Linked DNA regions of Saccharomyces cerevisiae S288C. Changing the gene in region 1 together with any one later gene gives a genetic interaction. Each region holds a gene or a part of one and is shown on either strand. Other genes may lie near its edges. The genes, in order: TAM41, ADY3, YPQ2 and VBA5.

What was found.
Region 2: mutations in TAM41 (region 1) and ADY3 together harm fitness more than expected from each alone (negative genetic interaction), as found in Saccharomyces cerevisiae (one large-scale study listed by BioGRID).
Region 3: mutations in TAM41 (region 1) and YPQ2 together harm fitness more than expected from each alone (negative genetic interaction), as found in Saccharomyces cerevisiae (one large-scale study listed by BioGRID).
Region 4: mutations in TAM41 (region 1) and VBA5 together harm fitness more than expected from each alone (negative genetic interaction), as found in Saccharomyces cerevisiae (one large-scale study listed by BioGRID).

Annotation. Positions count from the first base shown.
Region 1 is NC_001139.9:582,985-586,552, forward strand, and holds TAM41 (putative phosphatidate cytidylyltransferase), read left to right. Parts: upstream 1-1,910; coding exon 1,911-3,068; downstream 3,069-3,568. Other genes in the region: RME1 (Rme1p), read right to left, coding at 6-908; YGR045C (uncharacterized protein), read right to left, coding at 950-1,312; transcription factor TFIIIC subunit TFC4, read right to left, coding at 3,408-3,568. UniProt on the Saccharomyces cerevisiae protein: Catalyzes the formation of CDP-diacylglycerol (CDP-DAG) from phosphatidic acid (PA) in the mitochondrial inner membrane.
Region 2 is NC_001136.10:23,615-33,258, reverse strand, and holds ADY3 (Ady3p), read left to right. Parts: upstream 1-4,483; coding exon 4,484-6,856; downstream 6,857-9,644. Other genes in the region: PHO13 (4-nitrophenylphosphatase), read right to left, coding at 25-963; AIM6 (Aim6p), read right to left, coding at 1,430-2,602; GUD1 (guanine deaminase), read left to right, coding at 2,805-4,274; GTPase-activating protein LRG1, read right to left, coding at 7,383-9,644. UniProt on the Saccharomyces cerevisiae protein: Involved in the pathway that organizes the prospore membrane (PSM) during sporulation. Mediates the assembly of the DON1 ring structure at the leading edge of PSM during meiosis II.
Region 3 is NC_001136.10:1,178,069-1,185,948, forward strand, and holds YPQ2 (Ypq2p), read left to right. Parts: upstream 1-3,732; coding exon 3,733-4,686; downstream 4,687-7,880. Other genes in the region: ATP22 (Atp22p), read right to left, coding at 1-106; SBE2 (Sbe2p), read left to right, coding at 598-3,192; thioredoxin-disulfide reductase TRR1, read left to right, coding at 5,231-6,190; TRP4 (anthranilate phosphoribosyltransferase), read left to right, coding at 6,679-7,821. UniProt on the Saccharomyces cerevisiae protein: Amino acid transporter that moves arginine across the vacuolar membrane. Active during nitrogen starvation when it exports stored vacuolar arginine to the cytosol, for use as a nitrogen source.
Region 4 is NC_001143.9:656,120-664,788, reverse strand, and holds VBA5 (basic amino acid transporter), read left to right. Parts: upstream 1-4,324; coding exon 4,325-6,073; downstream 6,074-8,669. Other genes in the region: GEX2 (glutathione exchanger), read right to left, coding at 1,500-3,347; YKR104W (uncharacterized protein), read right to left, coding at 7,033-7,953; putative multidrug transporter NFT1, read right to left, coding at 8,053-8,669. UniProt on the Saccharomyces cerevisiae protein: Transporter required for vacuolar uptake of basic amino acids.

The DNA.
Region 1 (3,568 bases):
CTCAACTATTTGGTATTGTTCAAAATTTTCTTCAAACGCTTGTTAAATCTTGAATCAGCGTTGTTATGCACCATGGCCACATGTCTCTTATAGGCGTCTTTGCGCCTAAACGTTTTCTGACAGATAGGAAATGGGCAATTCAGTCCTGGATATTTTTCTACTTTTAGATTTAATGATTTCTCCATCTCTATATCAAGCTCTCCTATATGTTGGGAAGCACAATGTCTTCTCAGACCAGTTGCTTGTTGGAAACCCAATATTTTCCAGGGACATTGCTCTATGGGACACTTACACGGTCTTTCAAGGTTGAATTCGTCTAAGTGCGCGGCAAACTCAACTAACGTTGCGAACTTTTCAGAACAATGAGAACAGTGGTAACTTCCTCTTTTTGTTTGCCCTTCGGAAATTGTGCTGAGTACTTTGGGGTCGTGATATAGCTGTGCCACGTGCGATTTTTGGGGATAGCCTAGAATACACTGTGAATGGGATTGTTCTGTTGTATTGCTCTCAATAAATACAGGATTTGCTCCTTTTTGACGTCCATAATTAATAAGATCTCTGAACTCCGGATCAACTAATGACGTGATACAGTGTGTACTGTCCGCTATTTCATCCGGCCGTAATTGAGGTGCTGTACCTTCCTCAGTAGACGACGTAGAGTCATAAGCCTGTCTCTGATTTCCGGCTATAACTGTGATTGTGTTTTCTAATGATAGTAGTAAACAGTCCTCAGTGCTGGAAGGCAGGCTGGAAGGCAGGCTGGAATCCCCCTCTAAGGGTGATGCCGAATATTCTTTCATGTTTTGCCCGAAATCGTGCCAATGATAAATCGGTTGCACCTCTTGTAAAACCTCTCTGTTCCAAGACCCCTTGGCGATGGCACTGTTTTGTCCATAACACGGTGACATAAGTGCTGAAAATCCCAACTTCTAGTAAAGAATTAACAAATTCAACTGTATGACTTATAGGATAAGAACAATGTCAGTTCCAATGCGTTGACACAGTAGAAAATATATTTACTAAGAAGCAGCTTCGTCGTTGGTATAGTTTCGGTTGATCTAGATATAAATATAACTACAAATAAATGGCAGGAAAAATTGAAGCAAATGACACAGGACATATCTATCACATTGCTCCCTTTAATTTCCTCGAAGGCACTCTGGCCTTTGTTCTCTGCATAAGAAAAAGCCAGCAGAAAATACGGTGATATATTTAATACATGCCCGGCCACTTTTCTGCTGGTAAAGCCCACCGGAAAAGTTCGGATTTTCTTATCCAGTATACGCCGACCTTTTGATGTAATCTGTGACATCTCACTCCGGCGGCCATTTTACGTGACGAAGCATCCCTTACAACAGAAAGAAGAAAAAAGATATGCCGCTTTGCGGTTTCTTTCTGGCAATGTATGCACTCATAATGCTACTCGTTTACCCACTATCCCTGTCCAAACTAAAGAGGGAGGAAAGCACTTTTTGCATTTACACATCGTAGATTATAAAATGATCGTTAACAGGCGCTTGTGATTTTGAATTTAAGAAATGTGGACTAGAGAAGTCTTAAATCGCCAATGCTGTACCAGACTCTCTATAGCATCTAAACACGAAATTCAACTGTTATCTTAGTTTTTCACTTACCAGTAGCGCGCTTGTTATTCCCACGTTATTATTTGCCCCCACATCATAGGTCAAGTGACCTTCTCTTACCCGACATGAATAAAGAAAAGAAAAGAAATCATACCCTTCAGCCTGTTTAGCCATAAATAGTAAAGAGTAGATGTTTCGACGGACTAAATAATGTGAAAAAGGTTCTAAAACCTTCAAAACAATTAAACTTGAGAAACGTTGCTATAGGATTGAGCTAATAATTTGAATTAATAGGAGCTGCTTTTTACTTTGATATATCCTGAAGTTATGTTACGAGTTTCTGAAAATGGTCTACGGTTTCTGCTGAAATGCCATTCAACGAACGTAAGCATGTTTAATAGGCTTCTGAGTACTCAAATAAAGGAGGGGAGAAGTTCCATAGATGATGCTGGCATTATCCCCGATGGAACTATTAACGAAAGGCCGAATCACTACATCGAGGGAATTACTAAAGGCAGTGATCTGGACCTCTTGGAAAAAGGTATAAGAAAAACTGACGAAATGACTTCCAATTTTACAAATTATATGTACAAGTTTCACAGATTGCCCCCCAACTATGGAAGTAACCAGCTCATTACTATCGATAAGGAACTTCAAAAGGAACTGGATGGGGTAATGTCATCCTTCAAAGCTCCGTGCCGGTTTGTATTTGGTTACGGCTCAGGAGTTTTCGAACAAGCGGGATATTCCAAAAGTCATAGCAAACCTCAAATCGATATAATCTTGGGCGTCACATATCCATCACATTTTCACTCTATTAATATGAGGCAGAATCCGCAACATTATTCAAGTTTGAAATACTTCGGTTCCGAGTTCGTGTCTAAATTTCAACAGATCGGCGCAGGCGTATATTTTAATCCATTTGCAAATATAAATGGACACGACGTAAAATATGGGGTGGTTTCTATGGAAACACTTTTAAAGGACATAGCTACTTGGAATACATTCTATTTAGCAGGACGACTACAAAAGCCTGTAAAAATATTGAAGAATGATTTGAGAGTGCAATATTGGAACCAATTAAACTTAAAAGCTGCAGCTACTTTGGCCAAACATTACACCTTAGAGAAAAATAACAATAAGTTTGACGAATTCCAATTTTACAAGGAGATCACTGCCTTAAGTTATGCAGGTGATATTAGATACAAACTGGGTGGAGAAAATCCCGACAAAGTTAACAACATTGTTACCAAAAACTTTGAAAGATTTCAAGAGTATTACAAGCCGATTTACAAAGAAGTGGTCCTAAATGATTCATTTTATCTTCCAAAAGGGTTCACATTAAAGAATACTCAGAGACTTTTGCTCAGCCGTATTAGTAAATCAAGTGCATTACAAACTATTAAAGGTGTTTTCACAGCTGGAATCACAAAGTCAATTAAGTATGCTTGGGCCAAAAAACTAAAATCGATGAGGAGAAGCTAGTGTATCCAATGTTATCTACACATTATCTTTTATCAAAAATGTTTTATCGTCCTTTCATCTCTTTCGAAGAATCGCTCTATTCACATTCCAAATCTCTGGCGTCGGTCAATATTTATTCATCTTTATTTTTACCTTCTTCTAGATAATATACATTATCCCATATTGGCATTCAAACTGACTTACTTGCATTATGGAAGGGGGATCATACGTTCCAGTATATGCAATGGATGTCGTACTTACGAACACATTGTAGCATTTGAAGGGGTATTTCTATATATTTCTATTATTAAGGGTTATATTACAATTATACTTTATAGTTTAAAATATTTAAACAAGTTCTCAAATACTTAAATACTTCTCCATGAGGTGGTCGGCCAACTCAACATTTCCGCTTTGCTGATATATTATAATACTGTTATAGGCAGCATGTTTTTTCAACTTTCCATCATCGTAGTTTTCTAGAACTCTATTATAGTACTCAATTGCAATCGATACCAGAC
Region 2 (9,644 bases), on another chromosome or scaffold:
ACCCCTAGATTTTGCATTGCTCCTCTATAACTCATTATTGGTTAAGGTGTAGATGTCACCAAGTTTATCAATGTAAAATTTAGGTCTTGGATAATCGTGCGAAATCTTCAAGGCTCTCTCTTCGGTTTCAATACCACTCAAAACGAGTAGTGTGCCACCTAACCCACCTTCAACACCGAATTTCATATCGGTGTTTAATCTGTCACCAACCATACAGCACTTTGATCTATCCAGGTTGAATGCCGATATAATGCTGTTTAGCATATTTTGATTTGGCTTACCACAGTACGATGGCCTCCTATTAGATGAGAATGCCAATGATTCAATCATGGAGCCTGCACCGGGAAATGTATAACCCTTTTGCGGGAAAGTAGAATCAACATTTGTACCAACAAAGTGAACAGAATCCTTCTGCAAATACTGCAGTGTAACAGCCAAACGGTGGTAATTTACCTTCGTGTCTAACCCAGCAATAACACAACTAACATCCTTATCAAGGCCGTTCACCAAAAATGGTGATTTAGCTGCATCGAACGGCGTATCCAATCTGGAATCGGCACCTCCTAGAGATTCGTACCCCATTAGTTTCAATTCTTCACCAATACCGCTTTCTCCAAATACCCATACCTTATCTTTGCCAGGCTGCAATTTCAGAAAGTCACGAATATAAACAGCTGACGCATAACCAGAGGTGAAAATCTGTTCTTCTTTGACATCAATACCAAACGAAGCAAACTTTTTCGTGTATGCTAAACGGGACTTGGTAGAGTTATTCGTAACGAAGATCAGTTGTTTGCCCAATTGCTTCAAAAGGTTTAGAATTTCCAGGGTGTATGGTAATGCTTGAGAACCTAACCATAATACACCATCACAATCGAACAGAAACGTGTCATATTTGTCCAAGAATTCTTGAGCAATCTCCTTATTGGTTATCTTTATTGGTACACCTTGTTGAGCAGTCATTTTCCCGAGTTGTATATTCTTTGTCAGGGCAAGCTATAAGGCTTTTTTTGTGATTTGGCTCGAGCTTGATATTTATGTCTGCTTGTTATAAACCGATTGCGTCAATTACAATTGAAAAATTCACTAAAACGGAAAGAACATTCACCGAAAAAAAGAAAAACCGGAAAGTTAATAGATAAGGGACGTCATTAATATACGATTAAGTAAATACTGAAAACGTGCTGGAGAATAGTAAAGATGTCACATCACCATCTTCAACGTCTTCCTCTACAAAACTTGAGTTGATAAAGAAGCATAGTATACACAAACGTATGTATCTCTTCAGAGAACTATATCCTGTGAGGGAAGATGAGACCATTCCCCATTATACTTCTTGAACGGGTAGTTGCGTCGAACAATCTACTTCCTATTCATATCTAAATGTTTATATAAATATATGGCTTTTCTTATCCACAGCTCAAGCCACTTATATCAATGACGATGCCATGAATAAATTGTCCAGGTTAAGTAAATCGGAACCCAAGTCATGAATAATTTGGCGAGAAATAGTTTCCACCAGGTTAGCTGGCCAGGTTGGGGCTCCCCAAATTCTTGTTTTAAGTTTCAATGCGTGAGCACCATCAATTATGCTTTTAGCACAACTGATCTCATTCGAATCCATACGACCTCTTAGCGATACTTTCCAATGATCAGAACCACAATGTTTCATTAATTGGCTGAACGAAACCGTCGCAGCTACAGATAGCTTTGAGTATTTGGGCTCCAAACTTAACAACGGCGCATCTAGAAATGCAAACCTTTGACTTGACTCAAAATAGCCGTTATCATTTCCATTGTCTAAAATATCCAATGACGTCGGGTAGTTGCCCGTTAGTATCACAGTAACAGGTCTCCAAATAATTTCATCCTTCTTCATATCGTAATATGTCAAATATCCAGAATCAATCAGAGATTTGAAATATTGCTCCATCAGCAGTTTATAAGTTAGTTCGTTATCATCCGACTTGAAATCAATATAAAAGAAGAGTGAAGTTTCTGGAGAGTTGAAAAATACACCATTTTTGCGATCGGCGTCTGAATCTTGGCAATTCACCTCGTCTAAAATCTCCAAGAGGGGGCCAGTGTATAGCTTGTCTAATGTCAATTCAACTGGGTCCAAATACGCTTCATTATGACCCACAGCTAGGATCTTTTCATCTATATTCCACACGTCGGCTTCAGTACTACTAGCACCATAGGCCAGACCTTCAAAAAGCGGAAGTTTCCTCCAGTAGTCATTATGGGAGTGAACTGGCATTGGGTTAACATCTTTGTTCAACTTTGCGATAGCAGAGTCTACTGGTAAACACTTTTTTGAACTGGCACGACGTAAGATATATTCTTTGAATACATCATAATATAAAGAAACGTGTTTGTGACGATACTTTTCCTCTGAAAAACTTAGAAATGGCAAGTTTTCCTGGAAAAATTCTAAAAGATGTTGACCGGTCAACCCAAAGTTATCAATATTCGATATTTTCTGGTCCTTTAACTTTTCCCAATCAGTTAATGAAGGATTTCTTCCCCTACTGGAAAACAAAGCACAGACAGCAATAACGTATCCAATAAGAATAGTTAGACACCCTTTCAGTCCTAACATCGCTTAACTAAACCGAGGTACTTATCTTTGTTGGTCTTATCTCGAGTCATATTTTATGCCTATCCGGCGATTTATCACTCGGAAGTTTGGATAGTTTCGGATTATAAAAGGAGACAAGATAAGGATTTTAAAACAGGCCATTGGCAAAAGAACAACATTTTATTGAATGAATATATGAATTGGGCTGTCCTTTGAAGAGGATATGACAAAAAGTGATTTATTATTTGATAAATTCAACGACAAACATGGAAAGTTTCTAGTTTTTTTTGGTACCTTTGTAGATACCCCTAAATTAGGAGAGCTGAGAATCAGAGAGAAAACATCTGTTGGAGTTCTCAACGGAATCATCAGGTTTGTGAACAGAAATTCACTCGATCCTGTCAAAGATTGTTTAGATCACGATAGTAGCTTATCACCAGAGGATGTCACGGTGGTTGACATAATTGGAAAAGACAAGACTCGAAATAACAGCTTTTATTTTCCAGGTTTTGTTGACACGCATAACCATGTCTCGCAATATCCAAATGTCGGCGTATTTGGGAATTCTACCCTGCTGGATTGGCTAGAGAAGTATACCTTCCCCATAGAAGCCGCACTAGCAAACGAAAATATTGCGAGAGAAGTTTACAATAAGGTAATAAGTAAGACGCTTTCTCACGGTACAACGACTGTGGCTTACTATAATACCATTGATCTCAAGTCCACTAAGCTCTTGGCTCAACTAAGCTCCTTATTGGGGCAGCGTGTTCTTGTTGGAAAAGTGTGCATGGATACCAATGGTCCCGAGTATTATATTGAAGATACTAAAACTTCCTTTGAAAGCACTGTGAAAGTTGTTAAGTACATACGGGAAACCATTTGTGATCCCCTCGTAAATCCTATAGTGACACCAAGGTTCGCGCCCTCTTGTTCTAGAGAACTAATGCAACAGTTGTCCAAGCTAGTCAAGGATGAAAACATACACGTTCAAACCCACTTGTCGGAAAATAAGGAGGAGATACAGTGGGTTCAAGATTTATTTCCCGAATGTGAGAGCTATACTGATGTATACGACAAATATGGGCTGCTCACAGAAAAAACAGTATTGGCACATTGTATTCATCTAACAGATGCCGAAGCGCGTGTGATTAAACAGCGTCGCTGTGGTATATCTCATTGTCCCATTTCCAACTCCTCTCTGACTTCTGGAGAGTGTAGGGTTCGATGGTTGCTGGACCAGGGCATAAAGGTTGGTCTAGGCACCGACGTTTCAGCCGGTCATTCTTGTAGCATACTCACCACCGGAAGGCAGGCCTTTGCAGTTTCAAGGCATTTGGCAATGAGAGAAACTGATCATGCAAAACTTTCAGTCTCCGAGTGCCTATTTCTTGCTACAATGGGCGGAGCACAAGTCTTGCGTATGGATGAGACCTTGGGGACTTTTGACGTCGGTAAGCAGTTTGACGCTCAAATGATCGATACCAATGCTCCCGGCTCAAACGTGGATATGTTTCATTGGCAGCTAAAGGAGAAGGATCAAATGCAAGAGCAAGAGCAAGAGCAAGGGCAAGACCCTTATAAGAACCCACCGCTGCTTACTAATGAAGACATAATCGCAAAATGGTTCTTTAACGGTGATGATCGCAACACCACTAAAGTTTGGGTAGCCGGCCAGCAAGTCTACCAGATTTAGTTGTATATGTTTAGAGGGCTACTATATCTTGTTCCAAGTATTAATGAGTAATTTGAGTATATGTACAAATTTCTTTTGCGTATCGCGCTTTAGCCGCCCATTGTACAATATTAAGATTAGGAACACAAAGAGATTTGCCAGTGAAAGAATTGCAAAACTCGGTTTGGGATTTTGAATGGGATAGTTGAATACAACAAACTTCTCCGAATATGAATCATTGGTTAGCATTTTTGAATAAGCCTGAATCCCTAAAGGAACAAAACTCGGATTGCGACCAGCAGGGGGAGATGAGACATGTTACTGATGGCACTTTAACTAAGTCTCCAGAAAGTAAACCTTTTCGAGAGCGGCGTTCACAAACTTGGATAGACTCTGAAGTACCTACGTCCACTGAAAAATCTAATGTGCAGGAAAGTATTTCTTCTGATATTATATCAAAACTGTCGAATAGGCGTTCCCGAAGAAACCGCTCAGAGAGTTGGGCAGGTTCAGAAGCCTCTTCACCTTCTGGTAACATTAGTACATTGGAAAATGCTACGGAAAAAAATACTTTAAAATCGCCTAATAAATTTCTACAAAGGGGTGGTTTACCAACTGTAGGAATAGGCTCGCAGGCTCTGTCACCTGCAGGAAAGCCCAGTACATTAGGAAATGTAAGCCCTGGTAAATTTACCACATACAAAGTACACAATAGTATTGAAGTGAATAGATTTTCTTCTACACCTACAAAGCTCCTCACGAATCCCCACAAAGTCGCAGCAATCTCAAATGATGAGCATTATGTTGTAAGCAATGAGAGTCTGGAGGAGAATATAGAGGTTGCGCATCTAGAGAACGTATTTCGCTCATCTAAAACTCCAGATGAAGAACAGTCCGAATATATGAAATTAGGAGAAATTAGGCTATCTTCTTCATCATATGGAGGAAGTATTTCTAAAGAAAATAGTTTACCCAAGGTATTAGATGAGCTCCAGTCCCAAAATGAAGAGATCAAAGCACTAAGACAAAAACTAGAAGAGAAGGATGACAGGATTCAAGAACTAGAAGAACTTAATAGCATGAATGATGCTAAACTTCAAAGAATAGAAGACTTGCAGAAGGAATTCCACAACGAAAGAAAAGCTGCATCAAAAAGGCTCAACATTGTTCAGGACCGGTTTCGCAAAGAAATTAAAAAAATTAGAGAAGAAAAAATTACAGACTTTCAAAACAAAAACGCTAGCAAGAAGGAGAAGAATGAAGTGACTAGTGCCAAAACTAAATGTAAAGCTTTTTCTCAAAGAAATATTTTAGTTTCGGAACTATACAGGAAGCAAAAACAAATCCTAAACTTGCAGCAAGAAAATGATAAATTTCTAAAAGATATTAACGAATCGAATAACTCTATAGTAAAATTAAGATCTGAAGTTGAAATACTGAAAAGCAATTTGCAACTTTCTCAAGATGAAAATAAAAAATTACATGATAATGGTTCGTTTTACGAGAAAAGGTTAAATGATGTTTACAGCTATATGCAAAATCTTTCTCTTTTTGAGAAAGACCTTGGTAAATTCATACTAGAAGAAATGAAATGTGGCCATTCCCCTTCGATGTTTCAAAACGGTTTTGCCAAGCTTTATCCGGATTTTCAAGATATCAAAAATCTTGAAAATATGGAGCAATACAAACAATTAAAAGGAAAGATAGAACTTTTGGAAAAGAATGACCGTATACGTCTTGAAAAAATCATTTCTGTCTTTAAATTGATTAATGAAAGATTACATTTTATGCAACAGCAGCACAGTCACAAAATAAAATATCTTCAAAAAGAGGCGTTAACAAAAGAACAACAATTTCGTTTGGAAAAAAGGAGATGGCATGATATCCTGAACCTCAAGGAAGAAAACTTTCAAAAACTGAAGAGCGAGTTAAAAGAAAAATTAATACTAAGTGAAAAAATTCAGAAAAATGCCGAAGATAAATTGAACGATTACATGAATGAACACCAGGAAATTGTTGAGAAACTTCAGAATCAGGCTTTGATTGCTTCAAGATGGAGCACTCAAATTCAAGAGTCAGAAAACACACATAAGAAAATTACTGACGAGTTAGCTGGAAAACAAAGTGAAATATTAAAACTCGAAGAAACAATTCTATCACTAAAAGAAGATGTATTCCAAGAGAAGCTGAATTTAAAAAAACTATATGGTGATCCTTCTACCGAACTTAATTTTGAAACTGTTGGAAAATCTTTTCCACATATAACGAAGGAAAAGTACGACTCCTTGGGTCTTGATATTCTGACAGACCTTACCTATGTGCAATCGCAAAATCTAATCAAAAATTTATTAATTGTGTTGGATATCCCATTAAAAACCTTCTTAAAAATTGTACCAACAATTGTCATTCAACTTAGATGTGAGCTTACACTTCTCACAAAATTTGCTAATGATTTGAACCTTAAGGTTTTTGGTAAACAGTTAGATTTCAAAAGTAGAAGAAAGGTCGCAATGAATGAGTTTTTGAACAATCATGATATTGCTGAAGTAAAGCATCCTCTTGAGTATGATTTGCAAGCGTTGTTTAAATATTTCTTTTCTTAGCTTTTTTTTTTTTATTTAGAACTAATATATTCAATGGTGTCATTAATTATTATTTAGAGAATAAGTTACTGGTGGGGGGTGCACCTAAAATAAAGTCACATAATATAGAGCATGGCAGATATTTTACCGCTGGTATTGCTTTTCCGAAATTTTGGTGGAATATTCTTCTGAAAGATTTCAATTTGCTAACAGACTTCTTAAGCACTTACAAGAACAATGTAACTTCTGATCTGCTGTTGGAGATGTTCTGAGATATAAACAAAATTTACATCAAAAGGCGAGTAATACAATGATACAAATGATTATAAGTACATACTAATGTTACAATTTCTAATTCCATTTTAGTCAGAATATACTATGTTGTATAATAATAAAATAATGTCCATTTCCATAGCATACTGGTAAGATTTTATTGAAATAGGCAAAGAAAAAAGCAAAGAACTCTAATAAGAACGACAAACCTCGAAATCTGAGGGGAAGGAGAAGAAAAAAAGGAAAATGAGGGGAAACTTACAGTTTCTGCCTATTATTTGTTTATTTCACCTTGTATGACCGTTGTGGTCGAATCTTTGACTGTGACAGGAGTTTTTATGTCACATTCGGAATAATCGATTGTTTTACTTTGCATAACGGTGGAAATAAAATGGTTGATTGATTCGTAGTTATCTAATTTTTGTAACTGCACATCTTTTAAAAGATTCATTAAAAATTTCGGAACCATTGCCATTTCTTCATTGTGAGTAATCAGGTAATCAACTATCTCAATAGCCAAAAAGTAATTTTCTCCCTTGTTTTGAGCGAATGAATCAACTAAACCTGATTCTGGTTCGTCAGGGACGTTATCATTGGAAATTTCTTTATGTCGCAAATATAAAATATTAGGTGTTATGACTGTGGATAAATTGTGAATGTCCATTTTTGATCCCATTTCATTCTCAATGTAAGAGAATGAGGACGTCCAATGCAAAAATGACAAAAGTGCCTCCAGTAAATTGCGATTGTAAGTGGGTAATAAGGAATATATTAGCAATATAACACGCTGTTTCTCATCCTCTAAATCAATTTTCGCGGCCTTAATCCATAGTTCATATAAGTCTGTCGATAAAATCGGTTGGGGAAGCTCTCTGATAAATTTCTTCAAAAGAGCAGATAATTGGATTGCATTTTCTTTCGAGAAGTCTGGAGCTTCTGTTGGATTACTGTCGATGTTAGCAGTTAGTTCTCTCAGTCTTCTGATATTTCCATTTTTCCTGAAAATACCTTCTACTGACATATCCATTTGCCTCAAAGATGATATTAGCTCGTCAATAATTATGGGGATCCTAATCTTCACTGGCCCCACACCTAAATCGGAATCAACACCCCATTTCTCGCACAACACATCTAAAGGAGCACCAAAAACAGTCTTAGTGATGGGCTTTTTAGGCTCCATGCTCATCATGATTTTCATTCTGTTCCAAAAGCTACCTGTGACTTGCTTTTCATTCGAGAAGACCATTGAGACTAAGCTAGTATAGTTAGGATCAGTCTTCGATATCAGTTGTTTACCAGCTAGCAGTGACAAACTGATAGCCCTTATCATCGAGAGTTCCATCGTACTTAATTCAGAGTAATAAACTCCGCTTTTCTTGGGAACAACATTCGAAGTTTCGTCATCGGTTTCTTTTAGTTTTTTAAAGTGTGCAAAAGCGTTAGGTCTTAGCTCCCTTGCTTGTTCAGCGGCAACAATACGTGAAATATCATCTAGTGTCAACGTCTTAGTATTACTGAAAACATTTTCACGTGTGCTCACTTGTTGGCTCGATGATGGGTCATCTGTTTGAATCACAAGATTTTTACTATCTCCTTGTTTTGTCGGGTCATTTAAATCTGTCTCTGCAGTTTCCAGTATCACTGATTTTCTAGCTTGTTGTTTGTTATGAGTGACCCGAACACTTTCTCTTCTAGATCTCAATCTTTTAATATCATTCAGTGTCCTAATGTAAGTTTGTTCCTTTAGCATAGTACTCTGTAAAGAGTTTCTGCCTACCTTGTTAGATGCTTTCGATTTCAACATTACAGTTCTTGATTTGACTAGGGCAATTTTTAGAAGAAAAATTAGTTGTGCTAGCTTAGTAACAAATTTGAAACCCGGCACAGAGGCCGGATCATCAATTGAGCAGTGAGAACATAGTATCTTTTTTTTCTCTTTATTAAAGGTGGGATCCGTCAAACTCCTCGGATTTATATTCTTATGGCATGAAGAACAAGTAAAACAAGCAATATGCCACCGGTGCTCATAAAATTGAATGCATTCCTCCTGTATGTATTTATTGCATCCAGCGCAACTATCTGTGGCGTTAACAGGAGTCTTTATATACTGAAACGGGTTATTTTCAAAAAGCTCATTTTTCTCTACTTCTCTTAAAAACCTCAACAATGGATTAACAGAATGAGTCAACTTATTGTTTTCTAGAGCCGTATATAGCCCAAATCTTGTTAACAGTTTTAGAAAATGGGCTAATCCAGTAATAACAGACATAAAAGATGAAATTGTGATAGTTTCGTTTTTGTTTTCTGTCCCTAACTTTCTTAAGAGTTGTAAATATATCATAATTTTTGTGGACAGATTTTTGGGAAACTTGCTGTATTTACTGGCCGCCATTGCGTTGTTTTCAATGCATTCTTGATCACTGTTAACTGGCATACTTTTGTTCGTCGAGAGGTTTAAAGTATCCAGTCCCCGGAAAAGACAGTCGATTTTTAGTACCAACAGACCCGTAGACTCTATGCCCTTTAACTGATCATT
Region 3 (7,880 bases), on another chromosome or scaffold:
TAGGTAGAATTGTGTATGTCCCTGCGCTACCCATATGTTTAAACAGCGGTGAAGTGACCATTTGAGCCAAAGGCTGGGAATAGACACGGCATATACATTTTAACATGCCAATAAGAACATTAAAGTGAACGCTTGGAAGATTTGAAAGCCCATTCTTGCCAGTACGCCAATAAAGTGTGTCGCGCAGAATAGATCTTCATGTAATTCCTTTTTCCCTTTTATGCAATCTATAATGTTAATCAGCGTAGATCACTATATACGCTTTTTTTTTTTTTTTTCAGCTCCGATTAGAGAGCAAAAGAGATGTAACATCGATCCTGCTATAATTAGAATACAAGTGTTGATCTTTAATTGTACTGTTTCTGCGAAAGCTATCGAGCATTTGGCTGTATTCCACTGTCCATTGTATTTTTAACTCTCCTTTTTATCATTCTGAAACATAGAGCTGTTTTGACAAAATTCAGTTTTTTCTCAATTAGTGCTTTCATTCATACGTTCGTTACAAGCTTTGAATTTTAACTTTATTTTCGGGCTTCCACCTTTGCTTCATTATTTTACTTCAGCTCTTTAGCTTTCTGTGACATTCAATTTTATTGTATGACAGCACGTCGTTTGATTAATATAGTTCCTAATACGTCTAAGCTAGACCCTTTAAAGGAGGAGGACTCAACGCATCTGAAACAAAATCAACCTAAGAAGTTTTCCACAAAGGAGTTGATGCTTTCAGAATATACCGAACGCAAAAGTTGCAGCCTTCCGTTGTCTAAATCCCGATCAGGCAGTAGTGCATCCAGTAGCACTACAGGTTCGAACGGAAAGAATATTGGAACAAGACGCCCTAGCTCCAACCTAGATTTCAATTTCGCTAGCCAAGATGTTGTTAAAAATGTATTAGGTAATAATAATCCACACGTACCCACAGCGAAGTGCATTAGGCCAATATCAGATGATTCTATAGGTACATCGAGCACAGAGATATTTTCTTCATCGCACTCAAATACGACATCTGATTCTTTATGTACATCAGATATAAGCTCAGAAGAGGGTGAAATAGCAAACAGTAAGATGGAGGATAACTGCTTCTTCAAAAGTATGAGAGAAGCTGACCATAGAAGCAATATTACGCCCTTAAAGAAAAGCCGACCGGGATCAATACTACAGAAAACACGTACAGCAAGTAGCGCTGATAAAACAATCTGCTCAATGAGTACCATAACTACATGCATTCCATCTCGTCAAAATTCGGTGTCAACTCCTAAACTCTCCAGGACAGTAGGGCTGCCTGGATCGAGCAATACAACCAACAGTATAGCCGCATCACAAACTTCATTCATAAGCGAGAATGACTCTCCTCTTAAACATCATTGCATGAGTACCGCAACTATCCAAGAACCAAAACTCATGCCGATCACAAAAACGCCGTATGTGCATTCCAATAGTACTTCTGTAATATTACCATATAAAACAACCCAACTTACTCCTTCTCAACGTTACCGTTTAAGGAAAGAGCAAAATGACCAATCTTTGCGTAAAGCCATAAAAATGAAAGAAAAATTTTATGAAGATCAAGACGTTAACTTGGAACTTCAAGAGGGCGATGTCGACGGCTCGTTAATTTGGAACATTCCAATGGCATCTTTATCGACCAGTTCTTTTTTAACATTATCTAAGTTTAATAGAAAAGAAATGAGTTTAGATTCAGCGCGGGGGGATGAAGAGATATTAATACAGGAGAACAATTGCGAAGGCAAACAACACTCATCTTCGGCTCTCTGTGTGGACAAAACTTTCCATCAGGTTCATAGTACTAGAAAACATACATCAAATTCAAGTAACACTTTAAAAGAATCATGTCTGGACTATAAGGAGCTTCCGCCAACATGCATTCCTGGTATATCTCCTGTGTCTGATTCACAGTACATCCAGGATACAATGAAAAATCTCTCCCAAATATACCTGCATAGTTCCGAAAAAATCTCCAAAAGTATTCTTTCTGGTCGTTCAAGATCTGTACAGAGTTTACCACTGGAATTTAAAGAAGCCAGTAGTCAGGGAATGGAAGACCTAATGCTAGTTTCAGAGGACAAACTAAAGGCCGTAAGTCATTTCCGTCCGAGTTGGCTCCCGCCCAAGGATTTCAAAGAGAGGAAATTGCAAGATAAACAAATCTACAAAAATATCGACTTAGCATCAATGGAAGAGTTGCAAAAAAATAAAGAACGTGACGAAAAAGCCAAAAAGAATGAGCAGAATAAGGTCAAATTCCAGCATTTACTGGACCGAGGCATTACTCGTAACTCGTCATTAAGTGAATTAAAGAAAATTATTTGGGAAACACCTTTGATATCTAAAGTACGGCTTCAAATATATAGTCAACTTCTACAAAGTGACAATTGCTTGATAACAAAATGTTTTATTGAATCATTTGAGGAAGTAATGCAGCTACTCAACAAAATGGATTTTCCCAAAGATAAAGAATTTGAAATAAGACAGCTTATTGAACACGATGTACAGGAAAAGGTTTTTTATAAAAATGGAACAGATAAGCAAGTGGTTTCTGACTTGATGCTATTACTGCAACTGAAATCTATATCTCAACAAGGTTTGGTTACTGGTGATGAGATGCTATTCTACCATTTTTTAACTGATCAATCTTTTGGGACTTTGAAGGAAACATGGGAAATGGTCAACTTGATACAGATGACGTGCTTCAGTGAAATTTGCAAGGAAAAATACGATTCAAGAATATTAAATCCCAGAGGAATTGTTGCCCATCTTTTACGAAAAGATGAGTTCAAAAATGAATTCAATGGCGGATGTTTGAATAGCAATACATGGTGGAACATATTGCAAAGAATGGACCATAAACTTTTTATGTGGGTAATGGATGTAATTATCGTTCATAATGGCCAAAACTTTGCAAACTACCCCGTAAAAATGGAAATATTCAAAGACAAAGTATGGGAATACTATAGATCTAAGAAGGTTATTGTAAATTATAAGATTTTGGTTTCACTAACAGTTAACGTATTGTTAAACTACCACTTCGGATATGATAATCTGAAACATTTATCAGATTTGGATGATAAGCATTTTTGTATTCCACTGTATACGGAGGATAGTATCGAAGAGGAAAACCTCAATAATATTTTCACAAAGTGGTGGTTGCACTACTACCGAAAATTACGTTAGCGTGTATGTGGCACGTACTAAAAGTTTGGTGACCAGACTATCTCTTCTTAAGTTCATTTTCACTCTGAAACTTATAAATGCATACATACAGAAATTACTTTCGATTAATATAATAATATATTTTTAATAAACAATGAACTAATGCCCTTATTGTGTTTTGTTATTAACCTTTTCATCACCATTTTTTTTTGCTAGCTTCTACGGCATTCACTTACGTGCTGCAAAATTTCGCAGCATGGAAGAAATTGTTCGCGAAGAAAAAAGATTTCGCTCAGTGATTTGTAGTGACAATAGGTACCAGTGTTATCACTAAGTATATCTTTTAGTATATCTCTTCGCTTGAGGAGGGATCAAAAAAAAACAAACGTAAACGTGCACATAAACGTCAAGTACTTTTTGCAGGCATTAATATTCGTCTCCAACAAAGACAAATAAAGAAGCAATCTTTTCATTACCTTAAGCCAGTATCTATTGATATCAATCGATAAGGTTCGTTGTTATCGGTGCTAAAAATTATAAAGTGAAAATAAGAATCTTTTCATGTCGTGCTCAAACGGCATCTGGCCTACTGTATCTAATTTGTGCGGATCATTATCCTTCTTCACCTCTGTTATTTCATTGTTTCCACAAATAATTGAGACTTATCGAGATAAATCTGTCGATGGGCTATCGCCATATTTTTTGCTGGCTTGGTTATGTGGGGATATTACCTCGCTGATAGGGGCAAAGCTAACAGGGCAATTGTTATTTCAGATACTTTTAGCAATTTATTTTCTATTGAATGATTCTTTTGTATGTGGTCAATATTATTACTATGGCGTGCTGCATGAAAATAAATTGGCGACTGTCGGCCATGAGCCTAAACCTCTTCTTCCCGAACTGGTTGAAAATGGTGAGCTTTTGAGGGAGGAAGAGGACATGATACAAGGTGGTAGCAGTGCAGAAAGCCCTAGAAGCAGTAGAAGAAGGTCTGCCATTACAGCAGCCTTGGCTATAGCTCATACTATAAGTACAGCTAGCGCATATCCGCTAAATGTAGGCTCCACCCAATCACAAGTGGGGCCTCCCGGAGATGGTAAAAACAGCCAGCTGGGTACAATTTTATCTTGGATTGGCGCTTCCTTCTACGTAGGCGCACGTATCCCACAACTAATCAAGAATTACAATAGAAAGTCTACAGACGGCTTATCTCCCTTCCTATTTGCTACTACACTACTCTGCAATATCACGTATAATTTGAGCATCTTCACAAGCTGTAGATTTTTAGATAATCAGAACAAGAGGGAATTCATCGTGAATGAGTTGCCCTTTATATTTGGAAGTGCTGGAACAATTGCGTTTGATTTGATATACTTCTACCAATACTATATCCTTTATGCAACTGATATGCAACTACGTGAACTGGAAAGAGAACTATACAGTCCTGAAGAAGACAGTGCAGCGCAACTAGTGACAGAACGTACATCACTGTTGTCTGGTGAAACGCAAACATAGTTTTCCCTACGGAGTACTACCATTTATATTTAAACAATGCACTCTGCTCTTGGGATAGTCCTTGCGAGACCCTTTTTTCCCAATAGGAATACTACGTTCGTACTCTGTGTAAAAGTACCCAACTATAGTTAGCGCCAGTTTTACGTAAAACCGTCTATGTCTTGTTTGCATTCGCAACAGCTACAAACACATATAGTTTGTCACACTAATATTAATAATGAAAGTTATTATGTATTCACTGTGAACGCTTCAGTATACAGTACGGCAGTAAGTGTTTCATTCTGTTCTGGATTAATAATCTTTCACTTTGCCTAGCCATTTGGGGGCGGGTTTTGGCTGGGTTAGCTTCTCCTTAGTCATGGAGAAAAAAAATCGCCCGCAAGTATCTCGAAAAAGGAAAAAATGCCCACGCGTATAAGAGTGGACCCAACTGCTCGAGGTTTCAAGAGCTTGTAGATTAATTTCTGTAGTTCAGTTATACTTGCCTACAAGTGCTATACAGCAAATAGCGAACAGTACGAAAGTAAACATCATATTATCAATAATGGTTCACAACAAAGTTACTATCATTGGTTCAGGTCCAGCTGCACACACCGCCGCCATCTATTTGGCCAGGGCAGAAATCAAGCCAATCCTATATGAAGGTATGATGGCGAACGGTATTGCTGCCGGTGGCCAGCTAACCACCACTACAGAAATCGAAAACTTCCCAGGTTTCCCAGATGGTCTAACAGGTAGCGAACTGATGGACAGAATGAGAGAACAATCCACGAAGTTTGGCACTGAAATTATCACGGAAACAGTTTCCAAAGTTGATCTGTCTTCCAAACCATTCAAGCTATGGACCGAATTTAACGAAGACGCAGAACCTGTGACGACTGACGCTATAATCTTGGCCACAGGCGCTTCTGCTAAGAGAATGCATTTGCCGGGCGAGGAAACCTACTGGCAAAAAGGTATTTCTGCCTGTGCCGTGTGTGATGGTGCCGTCCCCATTTTCAGAAACAAGCCATTGGCCGTCATTGGTGGTGGTGACTCTGCATGTGAAGAAGCTCAGTTCTTGACCAAGTACGGCTCAAAAGTGTTTATGCTTGTCAGAAAAGACCATTTGCGTGCTTCTACCATTATGCAAAAGCGTGCTGAGAAGAACGAAAAAATTGAAATCCTTTACAACACTGTTGCGCTAGAAGCTAAGGGGGATGGTAAATTATTGAATGCCTTGAGGATTAAGAACACTAAAAAGAATGAAGAAACCGATTTGCCAGTCAGCGGTTTATTTTATGCAATTGGCCACACTCCAGCAACAAAGATTGTCGCTGGCCAAGTCGACACTGATGAAGCGGGCTACATTAAAACTGTCCCAGGCAGCTCATTAACCTCCGTTCCAGGATTTTTCGCTGCTGGTGATGTTCAGGATTCTAAATACAGACAAGCTATTACTTCTGCTGGCTCTGGTTGTATGGCCGCTTTGGATGCTGAGAAATACTTAACTTCCCTAGAATAGATGAATTTTCCATTATAAAATAGATACACTCAAATTTTTGTATACTTATCCAACAAATCGTTACTTTCTCCTTTTCTTTAATAAAAAGCAAACCATGAATTTTATTTCTTTTCCCCATTATTAGAGAAAGCCAATACATAATCTACATATATTGCGTGTCTGAATTAAACTTTTTAGACACATGACATAGGCCATCGGCTTACTTTGTAACGCGTGGTTGCCTATACACCGACTATTAAGTTATGACTAATATTATTGCTGCGCTTCCCCACCTGCATTTTTCTTGTCGTCTTTGCCAAAAGGAAAAAAAAACCTACGCAGATTGACTCTCTAAAAAATGATTCATGACCAGACAATTCAGTAAACATAAACTCTGTTGCATTCATTCTTCTGGAAAACTTTATAATAAAGCATCTGATATTACAGCTACTGACAACTAAGTGAATTTAAACTGCAATAATCACAAGAAAACTTAGTATTCCCTTATCATGTCCGAGGCGACTTTGCTATCTTACACCAAGAAATTATTGGCTTCTCCGCCGCAATTGAGTAGCACAGACCTACACGATGCGTTGCTGGTTATATTAAGTCTTTTGCAAAAATGTGATACAAATAGCGATGAGAGTCTTTCCATCTATACCAAAGTTTCGAGTTTTCTCACGGCCTTGAGAGTTACTAAACTTGATCACAAGGCTGAATACATTGCGGAAGCTGCAAAGGCTGTGCTCAGACATTCCGACCTTGTTGATCTACCTTTACCCAAGAAGGACGAATTACACCCGGAAGATGGACCAGTAATCTTAGATATTGTAGGTACTGGTGGTGACGGACAGAATACTTTTAATGTTTCCACGTCTGCTGCTATCGTTGCCTCCGGAATTCAGGGCCTAAAAATTTGTAAGCACGGTGGTAAAGCTTCTACATCCAATAGTGGAGCTGGTGACCTAATTGGAACTTTAGGCTGTGACATGTTCAAGGTTAATTCATCGACAGTGCCCAAACTTTGGCCTGATAATACGTTCATGTTTCTACTTGCTCCTTTTTTTCATCATGGAATGGGCCACGTTTCTAAGATACGCAAATTTCTTGGAATTCCGACTGTTTTCAACGTACTGGGACCACTTCTACATCCAGTTAGCCACGTAAACAAGAGAATATTGGGCGTTTACTCAAAGGAACTTGCGCCTGAATATGCCAAGGCAGCCGCTTTGGTATATCCAGGAAGCGAAACTTTTATAGTTTGGGGACATGTTGGGTTAGACGAAGTATCACCTATAGGCAAAACTACTGTCTGGCATATTGATCCGACATCGTCCGAACTTAAATTGAAGACCTTCCAATTAGAACCTTCTATGTTTGGTTTAGAAGAACACGAGTTGTCGAAGTGTGCTTCATACGGCCCTAAAGAGAATGCGAGAATTCTAAAAGAAGAAGTCTTGTCCGGCAAGTACCACCTTGGCGACAATAATCCTATTTATGACTACATCTTGATGAACACCGCCGTGTTATATTGTTTAAGCCAAGGTCACCAGAACTGGAAGGAAGGGATCATTAAGGCAGAAGAAAGCATACATTCTGGTAATGCATTACGTTCTTTAGAACACTTTATAGATAGTGTGAGCTCCTTGTAGACATTATTTCATATGTTATACTTAAACTAGATAGAGACGTTTTATTTGTACTAAGCTGA
Region 4 (8,669 bases), on another chromosome or scaffold:
AGGCTACTATAAGGGTGTCAATTACTGTTCTGTTTCGCAGGATTAATTCCGTTATGTGCTCTTGTAATTGAGTTAGCGCTTCTTATATCTCTTCAGTAATGCAGCAGTAATAAAACACATTGGCTTCGCTTTCGCTTTTTTTCCAAATCATTATCGAAGATTCTTTGCTTATGATATACTGGTGCTCGAGGATGATGAGAGGACACAACTTTTTGAGGCTTATCGTTATCGTCTGAGTCACAACAACATACATTAACTGTCCACGATTCAGGGATGTGCTATGAGTTCAACTTTCGCTGTAGTGCTGCCATTGGCGCTGCTACTGGTGTCTGGAAAAACTCCACAGCTTTCAATGGAGATGTGACTGCACGAGTGAGACATTATCTGTATTAGCTTCACAACCATACTCTGTTAGTAAGGAGCCATAGTCGACATCTGTCAACAATCCTAGGAGTTCCAGCTCAATCGGGTATGATATTATCTCTGATATCCCCAAAATACATGGCTGTATCATTTAAAATAAGTGATATATTGAAGAACAGTATATTTCAGCCTGTACAGGATCCTACTCTTTCAACAAAAATGATTTCATCAAAATTAAATCACGCTGCAACATTGGTGAAGAATCTCAAAAGGTTAGTAACGTCAATATATCGCGGAGGTAGCTATCATTGTGGCAGCTAATTTAAAGGATATACAGTTAATTCAACAAGATTTTCAAGTCCATTTCTTTTGGGCACGCTGAACACGCTCAATGTAGTACTTGTTTTGGAAATCACTCGCAGCAAGTTTAATGGGACGAATTATATCAGTAATGTGTAAATTCCGACACAATGTTCGGTTAGTAGATTTACTGCTGGATTATTGGGTTCACCCGTAGACTGTTGCCGACTCCAAGAAAACTATGATCTCAATACAGGCATAAAGAATTGTTGTATCTGTGCCCATGTGATCTGTACCTTTTTTGCGGTACCAAAATCGCATGTTGCACTCACACTACGGAACACATCAACTTGTAACGACAACAATACAAAATACCAGGAGACATATCACTTTTTTTCGCTTAGAATGATTTACAATGGCATACACTTAGAAAAGTGCTATGACATGACGCCCTTACTAGAAGTTACATGATATTCTTTTTTTTCTTTCTTTCTTTCTTTTTCGGTACAACATAATTAATGCATTCATACAGAGCGCATTTCCAGCATCATTTATTGGATAGTAACTCCTCCCGCACTTTTAATATCAATGACGCTGACTCTTTTACTGACGCTGAGTCTTTACCGACGCTGAGTTTTTACCGACGCTTGTGAAAATAAAAAGTACGACACAGCTATATGCGTCGCAAGTTCAAATGTGGGTCTATCGAGCATGTTTATCCTATCCTGTTATGTCATTTTTATCGGAAGTAATAAAAATGTAGAAATCACTTGTTTTTGCCTTTTTTGTGATTTTGCTTTCATTTTTTTTTTGCCCTTTTTTCACCAGCTTGGGGATCAACATCCTGATTTCTTGTTACTTCGATTATGTCTAAAAAGTGCCTTGATTTGAGAGAAAATATTTTCCTCATCTGGCAAGACAACCAAACCATCTTCAGTGAATTCTTCGTGTGTCGCCTTGTCTATTAGTTCCGGGTTTCTCATGAACATTGTAAACGTAAAGAACGGTACCGTACATGCCAAGCCAACCGTCATTATTATTCGTTGAACATATCTGTAAGATTCAACCACAGCATCTCTTTCCGGTGAGCCCCAAGGATAATCACTAATGAATGTATAAGGTGATGCATATGCTATTTCTGCCAATGTATCGTTTCCAAGGTTCTTGTAGAGTTGGTTAGGCATGGTTTGTGTCCATATGGCACCAGAAACGGAGGCACCGATAGCAGCGCCTAGCTTTGAAAAGGTATACTGAATGCCGGTTATTACAGCCATCCTACTATGCGTAGTCATGGCTTGCAGTATGACGATCACTGAATTGCTGCATAGGAGACCGCTCAAACCCATGATAACAGATGCAGCGATAACACCTTCATGAGACCCAGATCCTCCTCTGTATTTGTAAAAAAGGCCCATGCACACCATCCATGCAGCACAACCTCCGATTACAGAAAGTTTCAGTTTCCTTGTCTTTGCCACCAACAAACTGTAGAATGGAGATGCAGTAGCAGCAACAAAGTCAGGAAGGTTTACTATCCGAGCAGCCGAAGTGGACGATTCTTTCATCGATACCAGCAAAACAGGATACAGATAGTCGCACGAAATGAAAAAGGTGAAAAAATTGAAAAAAGTAACACCAAGGGGTGCCCAAATTCCACGATCACTTAGTAATTTGAACGGTAGAAGAGGAGATTTGGCAAATTTGGCCTCCCAATATAAAAAAATGAAAAATAAACAGCCACCTGAAACTAAAGTGGCAATTATTTTTGAATTGTGCCACTTTTGTGATGTCTCATTAGCCAACGTCAAAGGAACAAGAATACACCCTAGCGACACAGTTATTAATAATATGCCAACAATATCGAGTTTCCAGAATAGAAACACCAAATTCTCAAATAATCCGCCCGTTCTTTCCTTTCTAGCCTGTTCTTTGAGAGATCTCCACTCAGCAGTCTTTGAAGATTTGTACTTCATATAAAGAATAAGAAATATAATTGGCAAGGTAGAGAGTGGGTAAATAAAAGCCCACATTGCAATATTCCAGGACCAGTTTTTCTGAGGATTTGCTGCTGTGATAATATTGCCTGAAATCCATGGTATTATGATATATGGCCAATATGAGGCGTACTGGTAAAACATTCTCCATTTCAAGGAGGAGAAATCTGAGAGTATTAATGTCAGGAGCAGATTTGTTCCGACGTATCCACAGTTATAGAAAACCGATCCTGCTGCATACATGGTGAGACGGGTCGCCTGTGATTGAATGATGGTTCCCATTATATAAAAAATAGTTGCAACTAAAAAAAGCCTTAGTCTTCCGAAGTGGTCAGAGAGTCTAGAGTAGACAACTTGGGATCCGACACTCACAACAGCATTGATAACTTGGACAGTTGAAAGTAAGGAGTGTTCTGAATATGAGTTCGTTGCATAGCCCGTATAGGTCGATCTAAGTGTGTAGTCTAAACTAATTCCAAACCCACATACAAACGCGGTACTTATCAGTAGAATTTTATATTTCAAGGAATCAAACTGTGCAGACATAATTTCGTTTTCTTTGAGCTTAAAAAAGGTCGATGTCATAGAGTACGTGTCATCGTTTGAGTGACGTTCTCGCTCAATAATCTCACAGGACTGCCTAATTCCACTTTTTTTATTACTTGAGGCACCAACAACACTAGAACTCATCCGATAATTTATTTACTTGATTATTCTTTTTTTTTTTTTTCTCGTTCCAGTCCATAAAACTATTTTACTTTTCTTATTTATGTAAATAGTATTTAAGATTCTACGGTCGCTACATCTGCTAGAAATGGAATTACTTTAATACATTCCATGTTCTCATATATATTTTACTGACACATTTTGTCACTATTTTTTTTTTAACTTTTTTTTGGAAGTACTAAAATTATATGCTCGTAATTATTGAGTATCAAAAAAAAATAAAAAAAATTGCTGTGACGCCCCTTCAATGTGGTGTCTATACACCTGGTGACTTTAACTTTAACTTTGACCTGTCGTCGTACAATCAACTTACTTTCCGAAAATCCACAACGAACCAGTTATACCGAAGACTTTTGTACGACAAGAATACTGTACCGTCGAAACTATCTCTTTTCAAACTAATGAGTGAAGCTTGTGTTTATGTCTGTTGAAACAAGGAAAAAAATGCGGTGCCTGTCGACAGGATATGAGCACAAGTGCAAAATCATCAAAAAATTGAGTACCTAGATCCGGTGGTGTAGGACGAGCAAAGTTCCTTCATAAACAAACCGTAAGGGTTACTGATACACAATTTCCTTTGTGTAAAGAGTATTTGAGCAAATTAGTCGGCGATTGAAAGCAACACCCTTTTTTCTATATATAGTAGGTGAAAGTTAACATGCGAGTAAAAGTAGTGCCACATTTCCTTTGCAGCAGGTGCAAATTAGTACATATTTAACAGATAGCGCCGCACCTCATATGCAGCGCGTACATGATACGAGTCGACAAAATATGCAAAAGATAATAGTGTCATCACACCTTTATGAGAAGCGAATTTTTTTTTTTTTTGGTTTAAATATATATATACATATATATAGATGTATTCTAGTTATACTCATACCTAGAACTGATCAGACCAGATCATACCTGGTATAGAGCTTAATCGATAGAAATTCAAAAATATGGAGGAAACTAAGTACTCTTCGCAGCAGGAGATAGAAGGAGCATGTGGTTCAGACGCTTCATTGAATGCTAGAGGTAGCAATGATTCTCCAATGGGACTTTCCTTGTACCTCTGCCTGGCTTCGTTAACTCTTGTACTATTCATAACTGCACTGGATATTTTGATAGTGGGAACTATTATTGACGTGGTCGCAGAACAGTTCGGAAACTACTCCAAAACAGGTTGGCTCGTTACAGGCTACAGTTTACCAAATGCTATTCTGAGTCTCATTTGGGGAAGATTCGCATCTATCATAGGTTTCCAGCATAGTCTCATTTTAGCAATACTTATTTTTGAAGCCGGATCCCTAATTGCTGCCCTTGCCTCTTCAATGAATATGCTCATTTTCGGTAGAGTTGTTGCTGGTGTTGGGGGAAGCGGACTCCAAACGCTTTGCTTTGTTATTGGTTGTACGATGGTTGGTGAAAGGTCACGTCCATTGGTGATTTCCATCCTAAGTTGTGCATTTGCTGTAGCTGCTATCGTTGGTCCTATAATCGGAGGTGCCTTTACAACCCATGTTACCTGGAGGTGGTGCTTCTATATCAATCTTCCTATCGGTGGTCTTGCCATTATTATGTTTTTACTCACCTATAAGGCCGAGAATAAGGGTATACTTCAACAAATTAAAGATGCTATAGGAACAATCTCGAGCTTTACTTTTAGTAAGTTCAGACACCAAGTTAATTTTAAAAGACTTATGAATGGCATAATCTTCAAGTTTGACTTCTTTGGTTTTGCCCTCTGCTCTGCAGGGCTGGTCCTTTTCCTACTGGGGCTAACCTTTGGTGGTAATAAATATAGTTGGAACTCTGGCCAAGTCATCACATATTTGGTTTTGGGTGTCTTACTTTTTATTTTTTCATTGGTGTACGATTTCTTCCTATTCGATAAATTCAACCCGGAACCTGATAATATATCCTACAGGCCTCTCCTTCTAAGAAGATTGGTAGCAAAACCAGCCATAATAATAGTAAACATGGTAACATTTCTATTATGTACCGGTTACAATGGGCAAATGATATACTCTGTCCAGTTTTTCCAACTTATATTTGCGTCGAGTGCATGGAAAGCCGGTCTTCACTTGATACCAATCGTTATTACCAACGTTATTGCGGCCATTGCAAGTGGTGTGATTACCAAAAAGCTCGGTTTAGTTAAACCACTCTTAATATTTGGAGGCGTTCTTGGGGTAATTGGAGCAGGGCTTATGACACTTATGACAAATACGTCCACGAAGTCAACTCAAATTGGTGTTTTGCTATTACCGGGGTTTTCCCTTGGATTTGCTCTACAAGCATCGCTCATGAGTGCACAGCTTCAAATTACCAAAGATCGTCCAGAAGCTGCTATGGACTTTATTGAAGTAACAGCTTTCAATACATTCATGAAGTCATTAGGTACAACTCTTGGTGGTGTGCTTTCAACCACTGTTTTTTCCGCCTCCTTTCACAATAAAGTATCACGAGCTCATCTAGAGCCTTACGAAGGAAAAACGGTTGATGACATGATTTTGTATCGTCTTCAAAACTACGACGGTTCTCATTCGACTATTGGAAACATTTTAAGCGACTCCATTAAGAACGTATTTTGGATGGATCTAGGGTTTTATGCCTTAGGATTTTTGTTTTGTAGTTTTTCATCCAATAAGAAATTAATCATACCAAAAAAGGACGATACACCAGAAGATAATTTAGAAGACAAGTAGCGCAGTTATTTTCTTATTTTCATTTTATTTTTTTTCGCCTTTTATACAGACTTCAACACAATCAGAATCAAATAGGTGTATCGCAATGGAATGTAATTTCTTAAGTATTCTATATGTACTTAAAACCTATTAATATATGGATCAGTAGTTCATAAAATTCATGCTGGTGCGTTCAAAGATGTGTCTTTAGTAAGAAATCTGGAAAATTCGCGAGCCTGAATATACTCATCGCAGTGCAAGAAAAAGGTTGTCTTCTTTTCTTTTCTTGACAAAAATGCAGCGATAACCTGTAAAGAGAATCTCAAATAGACACATGATAGCAGCTGCGTAATAACAGACCTCAACCGCAATCACATTAAAGGCGTAAGCAAATTTGGCCAGCAAAATTTTCGTTTGTTCCTCGACATAAATTCTCATCAGAAAAACTGTTTACTGTCAGTGCTTTTGTCTTTGCCGCCAATACGGCAGAGAATTACATAGTATACTACGATAAACTTCTATAAATTTAAATATAGATAAAAATAGCACGATATGAACCACGGTACTCTCCAATAGTATACTTGCGATAAAATCAGCAGCTAAGTACTGAATAAGCATTTAAATTATGGTATTTTTTTTTTGCTCCTGCTGAATATTCGGGATTCTTAACGAGAGAGTTTCTTTTGTGATGATATAATATTATTTTCTAGTATAAGTAAAACTATCAAAAAAAAGTAATAATAACGTAGCTTGTTTATATACCATAAAATGTACCAGCAAAATTTTGTTTGGCACAGACAGGTTCAAAGGAGTTATTTCTTAAAGTTCTCAAAAAAAGTAGTGGATTAGGACATATAGCCCTGAAAAGTTAAAAGCGACTTCCTGAATGCCTTCTAATTACACACAAATATATGACGTAAGCAGATCGTATACTTCGTAGCTAGAACTGGAATGAATAAAAATAGGAAATTCTAGTTGTCTTATCTTTTATTATCGAATGAGACTTTAGCCAACTCGAAAAGGTTTTCGAACTCGCCACTCTGCCTACAGAGGCGGTAAAAAATGGTATTTCGATCAGATATTAGAGTGTATGGATGATCATACTCCTTGACTCTGCCCATTTCCATCACCAGAATTTTGTCATAATCTATTACTGACCTTAATCGATGAGCAATAGTCAAAATTGTTGTATTTTTCATTGTTTCTCTTATAGTTTTCTGAATTTTAGCATCAGAAATATAATCTATTGAGGCGGTTGCTTCGTCAATTAGCATTATATTACGTGCACCAAGCATGGATCGTGCCAAGCACAAAAGTTGTCTTTGCCCTTGAGATAAGTTTGAACCACCTGATTTCACAACAGTATTCAAATCAATGAATCTATTTCTTAGTTTATGACTAGAAAAATTAGGCTGCTCTTGCTCAAAAATCAAGCACAATTCATCGCATTCTTCAATTAATCCCACTTTGGATAGTACGCCATAAATTTGTACATCAGAATACCGATCGAAAGGATCTAAATTAGATCGAACAGTTCCATCAAATAAAGTAGGATCCTGTGGGATGCAGCTTATAGAATTTCTTAAACGCTCTAAAGGGATATGTTTTATGTCTTTGTTATCAATAGTAATCGTACCGTTTTCCCAGTCTGAAAGCCGGTAAATAGCCGCTATAATAGAAGATTTCCCAGCCCCTGTTCTACCAACAATACCAACTTTTGTTCCTGCTTTTACCTTGAATGATACATTATCTAGTGCCTTAGAGGAATGAGGAGAATAGCGCAATGATAAGTTTTTTAGTTCAACATCTCCTGTTTGAGGCCAATTAGCTGGAGGTGATATGTAGCCGTTTGATTCGGAAGGTATATCTGTATATTCTTTTATTCTCTCTACTGAACTCATCAAAAGTTCAACGCTTGAAAATACTTTTATGATCCATTGAGCAGTTTCAGTAAAGGAAAAGGCATTCGATAACAGTATCCCCGCTAGCCCCGCATCCAACTATGAGGCCTTCATTATGATCATTACAGAAGAACTAAAAAGAACAAGTGTCCCAATTATATCCACTCTATATGTGATCCACTCGGTGGCCATATTGAGATAAAAAAATGGAGCATTACTTCTGTCAATTGCAACCAAAGATTGAGTGATAAACCTACGCTCATCTGCTAATGCTCTAATTGTAGTTACTCCTTTGATGGCTTCAGCGAATAACTGGTGTATTGGAGAGATATTGATGTTATCTATTCTCTTCAACTCTCTAGATGCACGAAGATATAACGTACATACGGTATAATAAAGAGCGCATAAAGGAATAGCAAATAACAGAAATTGAGGAGTAACATATCCAATTAAAAGTATAATCCACAGACAAACAACGACGCTATAAGAGAGTCCTTCGAAATTAGGGATCAATTGTTGATCAATAATATCCATATCCTTGCTAAATCTGTTCATTATTCTTCCAGTCGGCGTGACATTATGAAAACGTAACTTGGCATATAAGATACTGGATAGAAGCTTCGCAAATATTTTCTTGGTGACGTTGGTACCTGAAATTATTGCTATCCAAACTTTACCAGAAGTTAAAAATGAAGAAACAAGACCTATGATAATAT